2 linked regions of the Elephas maximus indicus genome follow. The protein of the gene in region 1 binds, or shares a complex with, the protein of each later gene. Links are inferred from orthologs where the notes say so. Each region holds a gene or a part of one and is shown in the gene's direction. Other genes may lie near its edges.

Region 1 (7,863 bases):
ATTTTTCAGAATCAGGTGGGGAGCATTAGTCCTAAGGTCACACACTGCCCTTGCCTGTGCTTTCTCTGATCTGATGCTACAGGCAGTCCCTGGGTTACTAATGTCCGACTTACATACAACCCATAGCTAAGAACCAACCCTGTAAAGCCTATTATGTTAAAAATTTGAGGTACATGCTATGTTTCATGACAACAAATGGGTGCTGCTTTGCGATGTGCATGAAAACATTATTATTATTACCATATTATTATGTTAAATATGTTTTAGTGTATCTGGAAGTATTTCTTTAACGTTTTTTGTGCATAGAAAGGTACAGTGTATACTATATACTAAAACAAACATTCGACTGACTTTAGATACGAATTGTTCCAATTTACATACAAATTCGACTTAAAGATAAATTTAGGAATGGAGCTCATTCATAATCCAAGGACAGCCTGTACGCTGTCACCCTTCTTGCAAGCCAAGTGATAGCAAGCCTGTGCCTCCACTGTCTCTTTCAGAATGAAGCCCCCAAAAGGCTGAAGGTCTTAAAAAACTCTTAAATGTAGATCATATCTCAAAAAATAGAAGATAATAGGTGCCCCAAATTGAAGTCTAAAATTCACCTTAAAAATTCCTGATTGGCTTTCCAATCCTACTTGGATTATCTTTTTAATCTTCACAACAACTCTAACATGTAGGTGCTATTATTACACCCATTTATTACCAATGGGTTGATTGATGTTATACAACTTGCAGGCATGGCCTGGAGTTTTGACCCCTGGTGATCCAACTGTCCAAATGTCCAATCTAGCAAGATTATGAGTTCCTTGTATACCCTGCGCCTTGCCCATACATGACCTGACACATACTAGATGGTCAATAAATGTGTATACTAAACTGTATATATAGTATGACCTTATGTAGGAAAAATATGTATGGAGTAAAATCTGGGAGGGTATACATGAAACTCTTAAAGGGTAGTTAATTGTGAATTGTGATATTATGGGCAATTTTTTGCAACATACATTTTTAATTTTCATCTTTACACCTTTCTGTATCTTCCAAACTTTTGACAATGTGCATGTATTGTTTTCATTTATTTCTATTACTGTTTATACTACACAAAATGTCATGTTAACAGAATGTAGGTGGTTATATCTGAATTGGGTTTAATAAGATTTAGTTGCTTCAAAGGGCTTTATAAGAATTCATTTTATCCTTCAAATCTGATTTCAAATGCTTCCTACTTCATGATGCCTTCTCTGACTTTGGTGCTCCTTCTCCGAAGCTTCTATTATGCCAAAGTTGATACATACTGTACGCCGTCTGTGTACCAATGTTGCTGTCTGCCCCTCCTCCCCTGATGTTCCCAGTCCCCTCACAGATGGGGTCCCCTCGCCTCCAATTTTCTTCTCCATTCTCATTCTCTATTTCTCCTCTCTTTCTCTTCTGTTTCTTTCCATGATCTTCCTCAGATTTTTCCTTTGAGTCTTCTTCCCTTCTTGTCTCCTATCTCTCCCTTCTTTTTGAGAAGACTGACTTTCAAATGAAACGTCAATCAAATGTTACTTTCCATCAGGGAGTTTTCAGGCTGATTCTACTGGAGTCCTGAGGAAGATGCTCAGAGTTGGGAGTGGACACAATGATGAGGGAGACTTCTAAGGAGGATGGATACTTTTGGTTGAAATAAGGGATTGAGGACTACATTTCAGAATGACAAAAGCAATGGGAACAAAGGTTCGAGGATTCCCTCAGGGAAAAGGGTAGAAGAGAGCTGAGCAGAGGGCCCCTTACCTGATTGGGCCTGAGGGTTGTTATCTCCTAGTGTTGGCACTCAGTTAGAAAGAATGCTGACCTCAGTTGATTTGAGCTCCTGGATTGAATTAGTCCTGCTTGTGTAATTGACTTTGATATGTGGCCTTTGGATCTGAATTGGGTTTAATAAGATTTAGTTGCTTCAAAGGGCTTTATAAGAATTCATTTTATCCTTCAAATCTGATTTCAAATGCTTCCTACTTCATGATGCCTTCTCTGACTTTGGTGCTCCTTCTCCAAAGCTTCTATTATGCCAAAGTTGATACATACTTCATTCAAGCAATTATCTTCATCGTATTTTATCGTAGTCTGTGGGAAATTGTTCCTTTATTTTCTCACCTTAGGAATCTTGAAGGACAGGAAGGTATTTCACTCATATTTGTATCTGAGGCCTAGCACACACCAGGAACATACTCACTTGAGCCAGCAGTACTCAATAACAATTTAAAAAATATATTAACAGCTAAAATTTAGTAAGCACTAGGATACGCACTATACCTACATTGTTTCATTCACCAGACACTTTAGGCAGAAAGTACTTTTATTTTGCAATGAGAAAACTGAGCATAAGAGAATTTTTTTTTTTTTAGTTTTTATTGGGCTTTAAGTGGGAGCTAACAAATCAAGTCAGTCTCTTACACAAAAACTTATATACACCTTGCTACATACTCCCAAATGCTCTCCCACTAATGAGACAGCCCGTTCCCTCCCTCCACTCTCTCTTTTCATGTCCATTTCACCACCTTCTAACCCTTCTACCCTCTCATCTCCCCTCCAGGCAGGAGATGCCAACATAGTCTCAAGTGTCCACCTGATCCAAGAAGCTCACTCCTCGCCAGTATCCCTCTCCATCCCATTGTCAGAGAAATTTTTTTGATCTAAGGTTGAATTCAACCCAAGGTCAACTAGTAAGTGGCTGAATTCTTTTCTATATGCTTTTTCTGGATCCAAGATCTGGGCTCTTAACCACTATGGATGGACACATGGATGGATGAAGGAATGCTTTTTACTCTGTGGCTGAAGAAGAGACATGGTAGAGCTCATCATTTATTTTATAGAGACAATTATGATTAGTTCTAACTTTTACTTTTTCTAACTTCTGAATCATCTCTTTTTTTCTTCTTCCTTCCTTCCTTTCTTGTAATTCTGTATCTAAAACTCTCAGGAAAAATGTTTTGAGCACTTACGTTGGAGCGTAATCCAGACAAGAACCAAGTGTTCTGTGGGGAAGGGAACTAACATTGTATTTGGTTTCTACCTCTTGCTATTCATTCATTTCTAAATTTATAAATATCAAGCAGCTACTGGGCGCTTATGGTAAGACCATGTGTGCACAGAAGAACTACTCCATAGGATTTGGAAGCAGATCGCCAGGCCTGTCTTCCGGGGCACCTCTGGGTGGGTTTCAATCACCAGCCTTTCAGCTAGACTGTATAACCACTTGTGCCCAGGTGTCACCATGAGTCGGAATCATCTTGATGCAACTAACAACTGGGTGCTAGAAACCTTTTAGGCAGTAGGGGTATAATGGTGAACAAAACAAAGTCCTGGCTCTCAGGGAGATTACACTCTTAAGTGGACACTTCACATATACTAGTTCACTTGCTCCTCACAATGACTGCATAAGGTAATGATGACAACAATAGTGGGTAACTCTTAACAATGTTTATCTGTACCAGGCACTACCTACATGCTTTATATGTATAATCACAAAACCCTGTGAGCCAGGGGTGGTGTTTTCTCCATTTCAGAAATGAGGGAATTGAAGCACTAGGAGGTTAAGTGACTTGTTGAAGTTTTGAACCAGGGTGTGTGACTCTAATTCCCAGGCTACTAACCACAATATGTTTCGTTTATGTTTTCTATCTTCATATCACACAACTTTCACGTGGCTAAATTGTATCTCCATCCAGATCTGTGTGACTCCGAAGCCCACGGGTTTCCGCTGCATCCCAGAGGCCTCGTGGAATAAATGAGAAAGAATGCCTTGGAATTTTTGCAACACTTTCTCTTCCAAAGAATTCAAACTGATTTCCACATAATTCTCATAGATTTGTGCTGTGAACCTCCTTGTACTGTAAATTCCCGCACAAGGAGAAAGATAAACCCGAGTCCCGGGTCATTTGACACTAGCCGGAGCACCCAGCAGATGGCGCTATCTTAGTAGCCACCAGCTGGCTGCCCCATCCCCGGGGCTCCCCACCTCCGCGGAAAGCTTCCCAGCCCTCCCTCACTCCCTTCTCTCTCCCCCTCCCCACGGAGCCCGCGTCCACGTGACCTTAAGACGGCCAATAGGCGAGCAGAGAGGGCGAGCTGGTCCCTGTGGCCGCCATTAAAGCGAAGGGAAAACCCGTGAATTCGGATTAAAGGGGGAAAAACACCGCCCGCTGGGCCCACAAAATGGGGGAGGCTACTGCGTCCAGGCTGTGAGGCCGCAGGAGAGCAGACGTTAGGTCGGCCCGGCCCAGGGACGACACGAAGACAGCCGGAGAATGGTCTGAGCCCCAGACGCCGCCACCACCTCCGCCACTGAGGAGACTCTGGGCTTAAGGACATCGCCGCTGCCGGGCCGGGGGCCTGGGCTTCCCTCCCGGTTCTCGCCCTTCCAGCTCCTCTGCGGCCGCCTCCCCGCCCGAGGGAATCGTCTGGGGCTTGGGCTCGACCGTCTCGGACTCGATTTCAATTATTTATTGTGTAATTTATTATTTTTCTGGTGGAAGGGGCATACATCTCCTCTGTCCCCCAGAGAGGGGCAAGCGCCTGCGGGCTCCGCGGCAGCCGCAGACCGGCCCGCGGAGCGAGCGCTGCGCGGCCCTCCCGCCTCCGGTCCTCGGCCCCGGGCGGCTGGGTGCCGGCCGGGCGGCGGGGGCTGCTCGCGGCGGCGGGGGGGTGGGTGGGGAGGGCGGGCGGCCCGGCGGCCTCCTCTTCCATCGCCCCCCCCAGCCGCCACCCCCCCCGCCCTGCCCGGTGTCTGTGTTTCTCTCTCTGGTCGGAGGCGGCGGTAATGGCGGATGGTGGGTTGTGGCGCCGGCGGCGGCTGCTGTGAGGGACGATGAGTTCCTCCTTCGTGCCGAACGGGGCCAGCCTGGAAGATTGTCACTGTAACCTTTTCTGCCTGGTGAGTGCCCGGGCCGCGGGCGGGGACGGCGGCGAGTGGGGCGCTGAGGGAGGGGCCGCGAGGTGCGCCCTTGGGCCGTGGGGGAGGGGGTCCGGGTCTGATCCCGGCGCCCGAGTCCCAGGCCAGGCCCAGTGGAGCCGGCGCGGCCGCGAGGCCCCGCACCCAGCCCCGGGAGACGGCGTCCGCTCGGTCGCCGTCCTGAGCTCTCGGGAGTGGGGAGTTTGTTTCTTGTCTTGTTTCTGACTCCCCCCCCCCCCCCCGCATCGTAGTCTTCTCTTCAACTTGGGCACCTCATCTGCCGGGACACTGACTTAATTAACATTTCCGTCTGCATTTTTTGCCTAACTATTGCTTTTCTCTTTTTTGATCCTGTATCCCTCTTCACACTTTCTATTATTGCCTGTTCTCCCACTGTCTTTATACTTCGCTCTGGTAATTTGGTTTCTCCTAATAAACAGGACCCCAGAGTTTATGCACTGACTCCCCCCCCCCCCCATTTTACATTTTTTCTACGCGTCAGACTAACAGTTTGACTTCTGGGTGACTTCACATCTTTGTGTAAAAACCAGTAGATGCCATTTCATATGTTTTCTTCCTAAACTTTGAAAAGTTTGCCATTTTGACAATTTCTAGCCATCTTGCTATTATTAGAACATTATGCTTGTGTGAGAGTGGAGGGGGCTAATGGAGGAGGTGCTATGGTTTTGCTCTGTTTCTATATTGGTCTGTTTTGCTTGCCTTTTCAGAATGCTTTGAGCAGGCTGCTCCATGTTTTATTGAAATGGAAAGTCTGGGGAAGCTATACGGAGAAATGACAATCGTGTTGATTGGTCCAGGCCTGGGAACTTAGAACATATAAGACTTCCCAAAGTACCAACTGTTGCAAATACGTAGTTCAGAAATGGGCAATAGCTTAATTTGGTGACAAAGTTTGGGTGACTTTTTTCATTTTCCTCTGTGCTATGGGAAATATTAAGAGTATATGATAGGTAAATGAGTTGAGTGGGCGGAGCACAACTAATTGGCAAGTGCAAACTGCCAGTCATGTATCAGCAGTTTCATTTTTGGCACCTTATGCTTTGCCCCTTTAAGTGAGGTTGAAGAATTAATGGATTCCCTCTGTCGAATCTCTTTCACAGTGCTATTGAGATCTGTAATGCCTTCCCCCCTGTAAATTATGTTGGTTTTCTTGTATAATGTCCATTAATCAGCATCTTTGCATGTAAAAAGACATACACCAGGTTTTGAATTTCTGTGCTCTCCAACTCAGTCTATTTTTGGTACTTTTAGGATCAAGTTCTTTGAAGATAGTCTAGCACAAATCTGAGATTTCTTTGTGGGCAGCTATGTGATTTTTCCTAAAGTGGATGTGGCAAGAATTAACTAGAATTTTTACAGGAAGTATTCAGATATCTTTTTATTAGAGCTATGACTTCTACAAACATGGAATGATAAATTTTTAAAAATTAATTTTTAGTTAAAAGTTTGACACCAGGGGACAAACAGGACCACTTAGAGTAGAATTTAGGACAGAGAAAAAAATGTTTACTCAGTCAGTGTGCAGTGTTAAAGTACATGTTTATATTTAACATTCTTTTATTTCTATTTGGGGCACATTATATTTATTGACTTGCTAATTTGTGACATGTCAGTGTTAATATTTTAACTGTTTTTGTTCTTTTTAAATTCTTGGTTATTATCAGATGTATAAAGCTTTTTTACTTTTTTTTGGTTTTAAGCCACTTTGAATATTTTAAGCATATATTGAAAAATTGCAGTGTCTTAATGAAAAAGGGACTTTTATGGTGAATAGTTTTAACTTTGAATGCACAGTAATAAAAAGTCATGCTTTCTTTTCTTCAGGCTGACTTGACCGGAATTAAATGGAAAAGATACGTATGGCAAGGCCCAACTTCTGCCCCTATTCTGTTTCCGGTAACTGAGGAAGACCCCATTTTGAGCAGTTTTAGTCGATGCCTTAAGGCAGATGTACTTGGTGTTTGGCGGCGAGATCAAAGACCTGGAAGAAGAGAATTATGGATATTTTGGTGGGGTGAAGACCCTAACTTTGCTGACCTTATTCACCATGACTTATCAGGTGAAAGCAGCTTATCACTTTCAACTAATTATGTAGTAAGATTGTATACTTTCCCCAAAATAACATTTGTATTACAAATTAGGATTTTTTTTTTTTGATGGAACATTGTTAGATATGAAGCCAGATAAAAATTAAGCCCTGTGTTTTATTACACCATGGTTATTTAAAATATGCTATCCATGTGTGTTATGGCAGGTTTTTTCCTTCTACCCACGTTGCTCTGAATTTCTCACAGGCAGTTAGGCTTCAGGAAAACATGCTATATTAACTTAAGAAAAATGGAATTTGGGGGCATGAAGTTCTCAACAAAGTCATATAATACCTTTGAAGCCAAGTGTACCACACCTGGGAGTCAATTCTGCCACTGCTCTGTACTGCATGAATAGCCAGACAATTATAGGAATATCTAGAAGTGGTGTGTTGTGAATTTTTCTTGTTTTTGACAGCATATAGTTATTTTGTTATTGTTTTATTAACACATGAAGGCATATGTTAATTTTTTTTATTCTTGGAGAGTGATTATTTTATCCGAGGTACTGTTCCATCAAAAACTATCGTTAATATAACGAGACAGGTACATCTTGTTTAGCTTTTACAGGATGTGGTGTCATAATCTGAAAGGTTATGCAGAAGTAATTTTATTGTGAGCAAATCAATATGATTACTTCCACCTTATTCTCATAACCTTTAGGACCAAACGTTACTTTAGAAAGAGGCTATAGACCTTCATGTAATTTCTGAAACTTGTGTTTACTTTAGACTGTAAGAGTCAATGTTAACTGATTCTTTGGTGATAAGAATGTAAACGAGTAGTTGTGTGCTCCAAGATACTAAAGATTTGGTAATG
Region 2 (7,690 bases), on another chromosome or scaffold:
ACAGCTATCCTTTATCTCCCAATCTCCTTGCATCCAGGTAGGATTACTTCACTAGCGCTTTTGAATGGAATGTGAGCAGAGGTGATATGTCACTTCCACACCCTGGCAGTAGAGACAACATGTCCTCACGTTCCAGCTTTCCTTTTTCATCTGCTGGCTGGGTGATGGCGGGATGACCTGAAGGCTATATTGACCGAAAACAGAAGCAGCCAAAAAAAAAGAAACCCACCTACTGCCGTGGAGTCAATTCTAACTCATAACAACTCTATAGGACAGAGTAGAACTGCCCCATAGAGTTTACGAGGAGCACCTGGTGGATTCAAACCACAGACCTTTTGGTTAGCAGCTGAAGTCTTAACCACTATGCCACCAGGGTTTCCACAGAAGGAGCATAGGTCTCAAACTGACTAAGTGAAGCAAAGCTCTCTTGGTTGTTGTGTGTTCCTTACATTTAAACTTTTCGGAACGGAAATTTTCCAGCATACACAAATGACAGATACTTCAATGAACTCCTATCACCCAGTTTCAACAGTAATCAACATTTTGCTAATCTGGTTCTATTTCATCCATGCTACCTATTTCTTTTGCAGGGGAAATTGAAAGAAATTCCAGCTCTGTCCTCTTACCTGTAAATACATCAACAGGCATCTCTTACAGATAAGGACTTTTTTTAAAAAAACAAAACCACAATATATTATCACACTTAACATAATAGTTTCTTGCTGTCATCTAATAAAAAAAAAAAATTTTTTTTTCATCTAATACTTGGCCCTTATTCACAGGATCCTGATTGTCTCAAAATGTCTGTACAGTTGTTTGTTCAAGTTAGGATTCAAGCAACATGCACACATGGCATTTAACTGATATGTTTCTTTGATCTCTTTAATTTCCCTTTTTACCCCATGCTATGTATCTGCTGATGACATTCAGTCACTGATGCTGTCAACTTTGCCACTTTCTGGACTCATGGCATGTGTTCTGATAATGATCCCCTATCTGCCATATTTCTTATAAAGTGGGAATGAGATCTCGAGGTCTGAATACAGTGAAATCCAAATCTTTTGGCAAAAATACATCACAGGTGGTACATCACTTCAGGAGACACATCGACTTTTCATCTGATGATTTCAGCATCCACAGGTGAGCACTGCCTAGATTCATTACTTCATTCAGGGTTGCTAAAAGATGATTTTTAAATTCTATCATTCCTTCTGTATTAACTCAAATTCTTTTATTAAAAAATCAAATTTCCCTTATCGATTCTTTGGTTGCCCTAAAAGACATGACATACAGGAAAGGCAAAATAAATGCTTGATTCTTTCCCTTTAATTAACAGAAATAAACTTTTATTCTGTTAAACCACTGGAACTTTGAAGTTTATCTGTTAATGCTGCTAATATTATTCTAATACTCTAACTTCCCAATCACCAAGATAAATCAGTAAAACAAGAATTATCCTAGAAAATAAAAACTGGCAACTATAGTTAAAATAAACAAACAAATCTGTTACTGTCCAGTCGATTCCAACTCATAGTGACCCTACAGGAGTGAGCAGAGCTGCCCCATAGGGTTTTCAAGGAACAACTGGTGGTTCGAACTGCCAACCTTTTGGTTAGCAGCCAAGCTCTTAACCACTGTGCCAGGAGGGCTATTATAGTCAAGTGACTAAAAAAAATAAATTCTGGCAGAGTAATAATAGAACATAAAACCTTCCAGTATTTTGTTATTATCAGACAACGCTCTAGAGAGACAGGCAGTCCCAGGGTTATGAATGAGATCCGATCCTAAGTGTGTCTTTAAGTCAAATTTGTAGGTAAGTGAGAACAGGTACATATGGTTCTTTTAAGAATTCGACTGCTAAGCAAAAGGTTGGCAGTTCAAATCCACCAGCTGCTCCTTGGAAACCCTATGGGACAGTTGTACTCTGTCCTATAGACTCTGAGTCGGAATCAATTCGACGGCAACGAGTTTGGGTGTTTTTTTTTTTTCAGTGCAAGTAAACGCTCAAAGTCTTTTCAGTGATTTGAAAGTTGCATGAGCAAGCAAAGGTGACTGTGGTGAAGAATTTGTTGTAAGAGCTGACTCAATCATTTCAAAGTGAGGGCAAATTTACACAACATTAAAGGGCAAGCACAAGTTGTAAGTCTGACCATCACAACCCAGAAGTATGAGTTGTCAGTAAGTCTGACTTTCATATAACCCAGGGACTTACTACGTATAAAAGGTCTCTATGTTTATTAAAGGAGTGGCTGGGTGGCGCAAATGATTAAACGCTTGACAACTAGCCAAATGGTTGGTGGTTTGAACCCACCCAGAGGTACCTCAAAAAGTACTGGTGGTGCAGTGGTTAAGTGCTCAGCTGCTAACTGAAAGATCAGCAGTTCCAACTCACCAGCCCCCTCCATGGGAGAAAGATATGGCATTCCGTAAAGATTACAGCCTTGGAATCCCTGTGAGGCAGCTCTACTCTGTCCTATAGAGTCCTTCATTATTAGTTGGAATCAACTCCACGGCAACTAACAACATGTTTATTAAAATCTTCACTACTATTCTCTTATCCTTTTCAGTCCCATTTTTGTTTAAGTGGTATAGAGTACCAGATAAAAATAAGATCTTTTGAAATAGCACAGGCACATTTGAACTAATCAGTAATACAGTCTTGGAAAGGGCAAAGGAAACATAAAAGAGTAAACAGGACGGAGGGAAAAAGTAAGGGAATGGGTGCTGGGTAAAGGTCCAGACTCATTTTGGGGAATGGAAAACAGACAAAAATTCAGGATGACTCTCCCTCATCAGAACACATATCCTGCTATATATACAGCAGTGGGCATAAGGCTTTAACTCATTTTTCTGAGCAGTCCCTCCATCCTACTCAAGAGCACAGCAAGAGGCTTTCTATATTGCTTTCCAACGTACTTTTCACGTTCCCTTTACATGAAGCCTAACAGTTTTGTCTTTGCACTCTCAGGACCCAGCAATAGTGCCTGGTACATTGTATGTTGTTGTTGCTATTGGGTGCCATGGAGTTCAATTTCAACTCATAGTGACACCATGTGAAAGAGCAGAACTGCCCCACAAGGTTTTCTAGGCTGTAATCTTTACGGGAGCAAATCGCCAGGTCTTTCTCCCATGGATCCGCGCTCGGTGGGTTCCAAACGCCAATATGAACTCTGGAACTGTTTACAAAACTCAGAAATAACTAACAGAATATGCAGAGCCCCAGTTGCGCAGTGGTTAAGAGTAACAGCTGCTACCCAAAAGGTCAGCTGTTTGAACCCATCAGCTGCTCCTTGGAAATCCTATGGGGCAGTTCTACCCTGTCCTATCAGGTCGCTATGAGTCAGAATCGACTCGACAGCAGTGTTATTCTGTCCCATAGGGTCACTATGAGTCGGAATTGACGGCAGCTTTTTTGTTGTTGTTAAGAAACTGTGCAAGTACTATGGACAGAAGAGTGGTTTCAAGGCCAGCCACTCAGTAGTTGTATGACCTTGGACAAGTCGCCTAACCATGCTGAGACCAATTTCTACACCAATAAAACATAATAAATACTATTACTTGCCTCATCTACCCAAATAAGAGGCTTTACATCACATGCAGCAAAGAGCTTTAAAAACTGTAAAACGTTGTAAAAGTTTTGGCAGGGCAGTTAACGAATATGAATAGTGAGACGGAAAAAACCCTGGACCAGAGTCTGGGCTGCTGGGCAGGCTCTATAACTAACGGACTGTACAACTCCGAGACGTCATTCTTTCCTGTACTCCCATCTTAGACTCAATGACGGTCCGGGCCCTACGCTCTAATAGCCTATAAGTCCGTGACAGGTTCGGGACCTCAGATGTCCTCAAAAAGGTGAAGCCTGGGACTCCCAAATGTGGCCGCTGGGGCAAGGAGCTTCAAGGTCGCGGGGTCCCAGGCAGGGGTCGCTCACCCAGTCAAAGTCACACGGGTTGCCGTCTTCGCGTTGCGTGGGGAGACTGTGGCAGAGCGGCGGCAGTTTCCTCACGAGTAAGAACGAGGCGGACAGCAGGGCTGACAGGAGATAGTAAGGTCGGGCCAACCATCGTGAAAGTCGAGGCACCGAATACACCAATGCAATTAAAGGCGCCAAGACCGCCATCTTTTCGGCCCTTGCGGCGCCCGCTGCTCACCGGCGTATGCAGGTCTGGTACCCGCCCCCACACCACTTGAAGTTCCCATTGGACCAAGTCTCGGATGCACCGCCTATTGACCCGGAAATAGATGTCTATTGGATCTGCTGGTAGGTAAAAAGGGATTTGACACTTTATTGGTCAATCTACCTGCCGCTCTTTCCATTTAAGTCATGTTATTGGATATTGACTGCGGTGGGTGGAGATATCAGAGAAGAATTAATACGGTTACATAGCATTTCCCGGACGTTCGCATAAAGCGACGGAAGTAGTTGCGGGGAGAACGTAGGCGGGGCCTAGGGCATCCAGTGATAAACTGCTCCTGGAGGTGGAGGGCGTTGCCCCGTGAAGGGATTGTCCAATGAAAGTAATCAACGCCAGAAGCCGAGGCACCGTCGGGGCAGAGGGGACGATGGAGAATTTCACAGCGCTCTTTGGAGCTCAGGCTGACCCACCACCGCCTCCAGCCGCACTCAGCTTCGGTCCCGGAAAGCCTCCGCCTCCGCCTCCTCCTCCGCCGGGCGGAGGACCCGGCACGGCCCCGCCTCCTTCCGCAGCCACAGCCCCTCCTGGCGCCGATAAGTCAGCGGCTGGTTGTGGCCCTTTCTACCTAATGCGGGAACTGCCAGGTGAGTAGTAAGCCTGGCCTAAACTAGCCAATCAGATCATGGAGAGGGGATGATGGGCGTGGCTATAAGCCGGCCGGCGGAGGTGCGAGGTAACCTAGGCAACGCGTGCCACTGCACAGTTGCTCAAAGCCGGAAGGGCTCTGAGCATCGGCAACTCCTGGGATGGCATGAATTCGTGGGCTGGTGCATCTCCACGACCAACCTCCAGTCTGTATCCGGGTTCTGACCCTGACAATGGTTTATGGCTTCCTAAAAATGGTTCAGGGTTTGCGTTTGGTGCAGTACTTGGAAGTTTATTTAGAATGGTCCTTTTCGGCAGGCATTGTTATTTGCATCTTTTAGGTGAAAAAGCTGAAGCTTAAAGAATCTAATTTCCCTTTGGCTAGTTAGTAGTTGATGCCCACCAGGAGTTTCTTTAACCTTTCTTTTGCCTTACTCATTTTGAGTGTACCTTTTTATATCAGTGGACAAGTGATTGAACACCTGTTCTGTGCAAATGCTAAGTGGGGGGGGCGTGTAGTGGCAAGGGGAGAGAAATTAATAATAACTGGTCCTTGCTTATAAGAACTTATTTTGGCTGGGGATCCAAAAGATGTGATTTAAGGATAAAGTAATGTGACTGTATTTTTTGTCAAGACCAGTCTCATTACTTTGTGCTCATGCCTCTCACACAGCAAATAACAGTAACTTAGTGAACAATATTGAGAACTACATGGTGGTTTTCAAAATATGTTCCATGTTGTCCAAAATGATAGCATGAATAAGATGTGGCTTGAGGTAGACCTTGAAGAATTAATATTTGTTTGGAAAATTGGGAAGAATTTTCCTAAAAGGAAACAATATGAAAAATGGTTTTTTAAAGACGTGTTGGAGACCCATTTAGTTGGATCATAACTTTTGCATAGAGGAATAGTAATTAGTAAGGCCTTAAAGATAAATTGAAGTAAGATGAGTTTAGTCTTGAGTGCTAGTCAAAGGAATTTGAGCCTTCCTCAAGGATAGTAGGAATTGAGATTATTAAATTGAGGAGTACTACTTTCTAAAAGTATCTGGAGAATGTGAGTACCATAGATTGAAACAGAGAAGCCATGAGTGAAATTGGGAAGATTTGGAGTTTTAAAAATAAGAATTGAATCCACATGCAGTTGAATAAATGGAAGTTAGAAATGCAGGATTCATTTTCAGGAGAAAAGTAAGGGCTGGGGAGAGAGAAGTTGGGTGAACACACAGATTAAAGAAAGTACTAAAAAGAAAGTGCCACCAAGGTCACACGACAACTAAGAGCCCAAGAGACAGAAAGGGCCACATGAACCAGAGACCTACATCATCCTGAGACCAGAAGAACTCGTTGGTGCCCGGCCACAATCGATGACTGCCCTGACAGGGAGCACAACAGAGAACTCCTGAGGGAGCAGGAGATCAGTGGGATGCAGACCCCAAATTCTCATAAAAAGACCATACTTAATGGTCTGACTGAGACTAGAGGAATCCCGGTGGCCATGGTCCCCAGACCTTCCATTGGCACAGGACAGGAACCATCTCCGAAGACAACTCATCAGACGTGAAAGGGACTGGTCATTGGTTGGGGAGAGATGCTGATGAAGAGTGAGCTAATTATATCAGGTGGATACTTGAGATTGTGTTGGCATCTCTTGCCTGGAGGGGGGATGGGAGGATAGAGAGAGAGGGAAGCTGGCAAAATTGTCACGAAAGGAGAGACTGAAAGGGCTGACTCATTAGGGGGAGAGCAAGTGGGAGTACAGAGTAAGATGTATGTAAACTTATATGTGACAGACTGATTGGATTTGTAAACGTTCACTTGAAGCTTAATAAAAGTTAATAAAAAAAAAAAAAAGAAAGTGCCTTCTCACCTGAGCAGTAAGCATTAGATACCATCGAGTCAGTTCACATTGATAGCGACCCTGTGTACAACAGAACAAAACACTGCCGGGTCCTGCACCATCCTCTCACAGTCATTGCTATGTTTGAGCCCGTTGTTGCAGCCACTGTGTCAGTCCATCTCATTGAGGGTCTTCCTCTCTTTCACTGGCCTCCTACTTTACCAAGCATGATGTCCTTCTCCAGGGACTGGTCCCTCCTGATAACATGTCCAAAGTACATGAGATTAAGTCTCGACATCCCTGCTTCTACGGAGCGTTCTGGCTGTACTTCTTCCAGGAGAGATTTGTTCATTCTTCTGGCCGTCCATGGTATATTCAGTTTTCTTTGCCAACACTATAATTCAAAGGCATCAATTCTTCTTTGGTCCTCCTTATTCATTGTCCAGCTTTCGTATGCATATGTGGTAATTGAAAACACCATGGTTTGGGTGAGGTGCACCTTAGCTTTTTAGCGTGACGTCTTTGCTTTTTAACACTTGGAAGAGGTCTTTTGCAAACTTGCCCAGTATAGTATGTCATTTGATTTCTTGACTGCTGCTTCCATGGGCTTTGCTTGTGAAACCACGTAAAATGAAATGCTCAAAAATGTCATTAGTTTCTGCATTTATCATGATGTTGCTTATTGGTCCAGTTGTGGGGATATTTGTTTTCTTTATGTTGAAGTGTAATCTATACTGAAGGCTGTCATCTTTGGTCTTCATTATTAAATATAACCATGTGGAAAGAGGAGAACTGGCAGAGAGGGGAAAAATGAGGGTACTGTAATGGCAGGATACAGCGCCCAGAGACTATGAGAAGAGGTTCTGTGGTACTGAGTCTCCTCCCTTCACAGTAGACCACTCTTCTGAGAAGCTTGGCTGTGAAGAAAAGGGAAAGAATGAGGTAAGGTCTGGAGCTACAGAGACAGAAATACCTTATTGACCACCTAGTTTGTGATCGGCTGCTAACCTCATGGTTGGCGGTTCAGGCCTACCGGGCGGCTGTGTGGAAGAAAGTCCTGATGATCTAT

Evidence for each region.
Region 2: MED13 (region 1) and MED19 share a complex: the UniProt entries of both Homo sapiens proteins name them as parts of the mediator complex. The link is inferred for Elephas maximus indicus from reciprocal best matches to the Homo sapiens genes MED13 and MED19.

Annotation. Positions count from the first base shown.
Region 1 is NC_064837.1:34,008,665-34,016,527, reverse strand, and holds the start of MED13 (mediator of RNA polymerase II transcription subunit 13), read left to right. Parts: upstream 1-4,738; 5' UTR 4,739-4,852; coding exon 4,853-4,918; intron 4,919-6,781; coding exon 6,782-7,016; intron 7,017-7,863. UniProt on the Homo sapiens protein: Component of the Mediator complex, a coactivator involved in the regulated transcription of nearly all RNA polymerase II-dependent genes.
Region 2 is NC_064825.1:119,108,869-119,116,558, reverse strand, and holds the start of MED19 (mediator of RNA polymerase II transcription subunit 19), read left to right. Parts: upstream 1-4,464; 5' UTR 4,465-4,512; coding exon 4,513-4,780; intron 4,781-7,690. Other genes in the region: TMX2 (thioredoxin-related transmembrane protein 2), read right to left, coding at 3,932-4,120. UniProt on the Homo sapiens protein: Component of the Mediator complex, a coactivator involved in the regulated transcription of nearly all RNA polymerase II-dependent genes.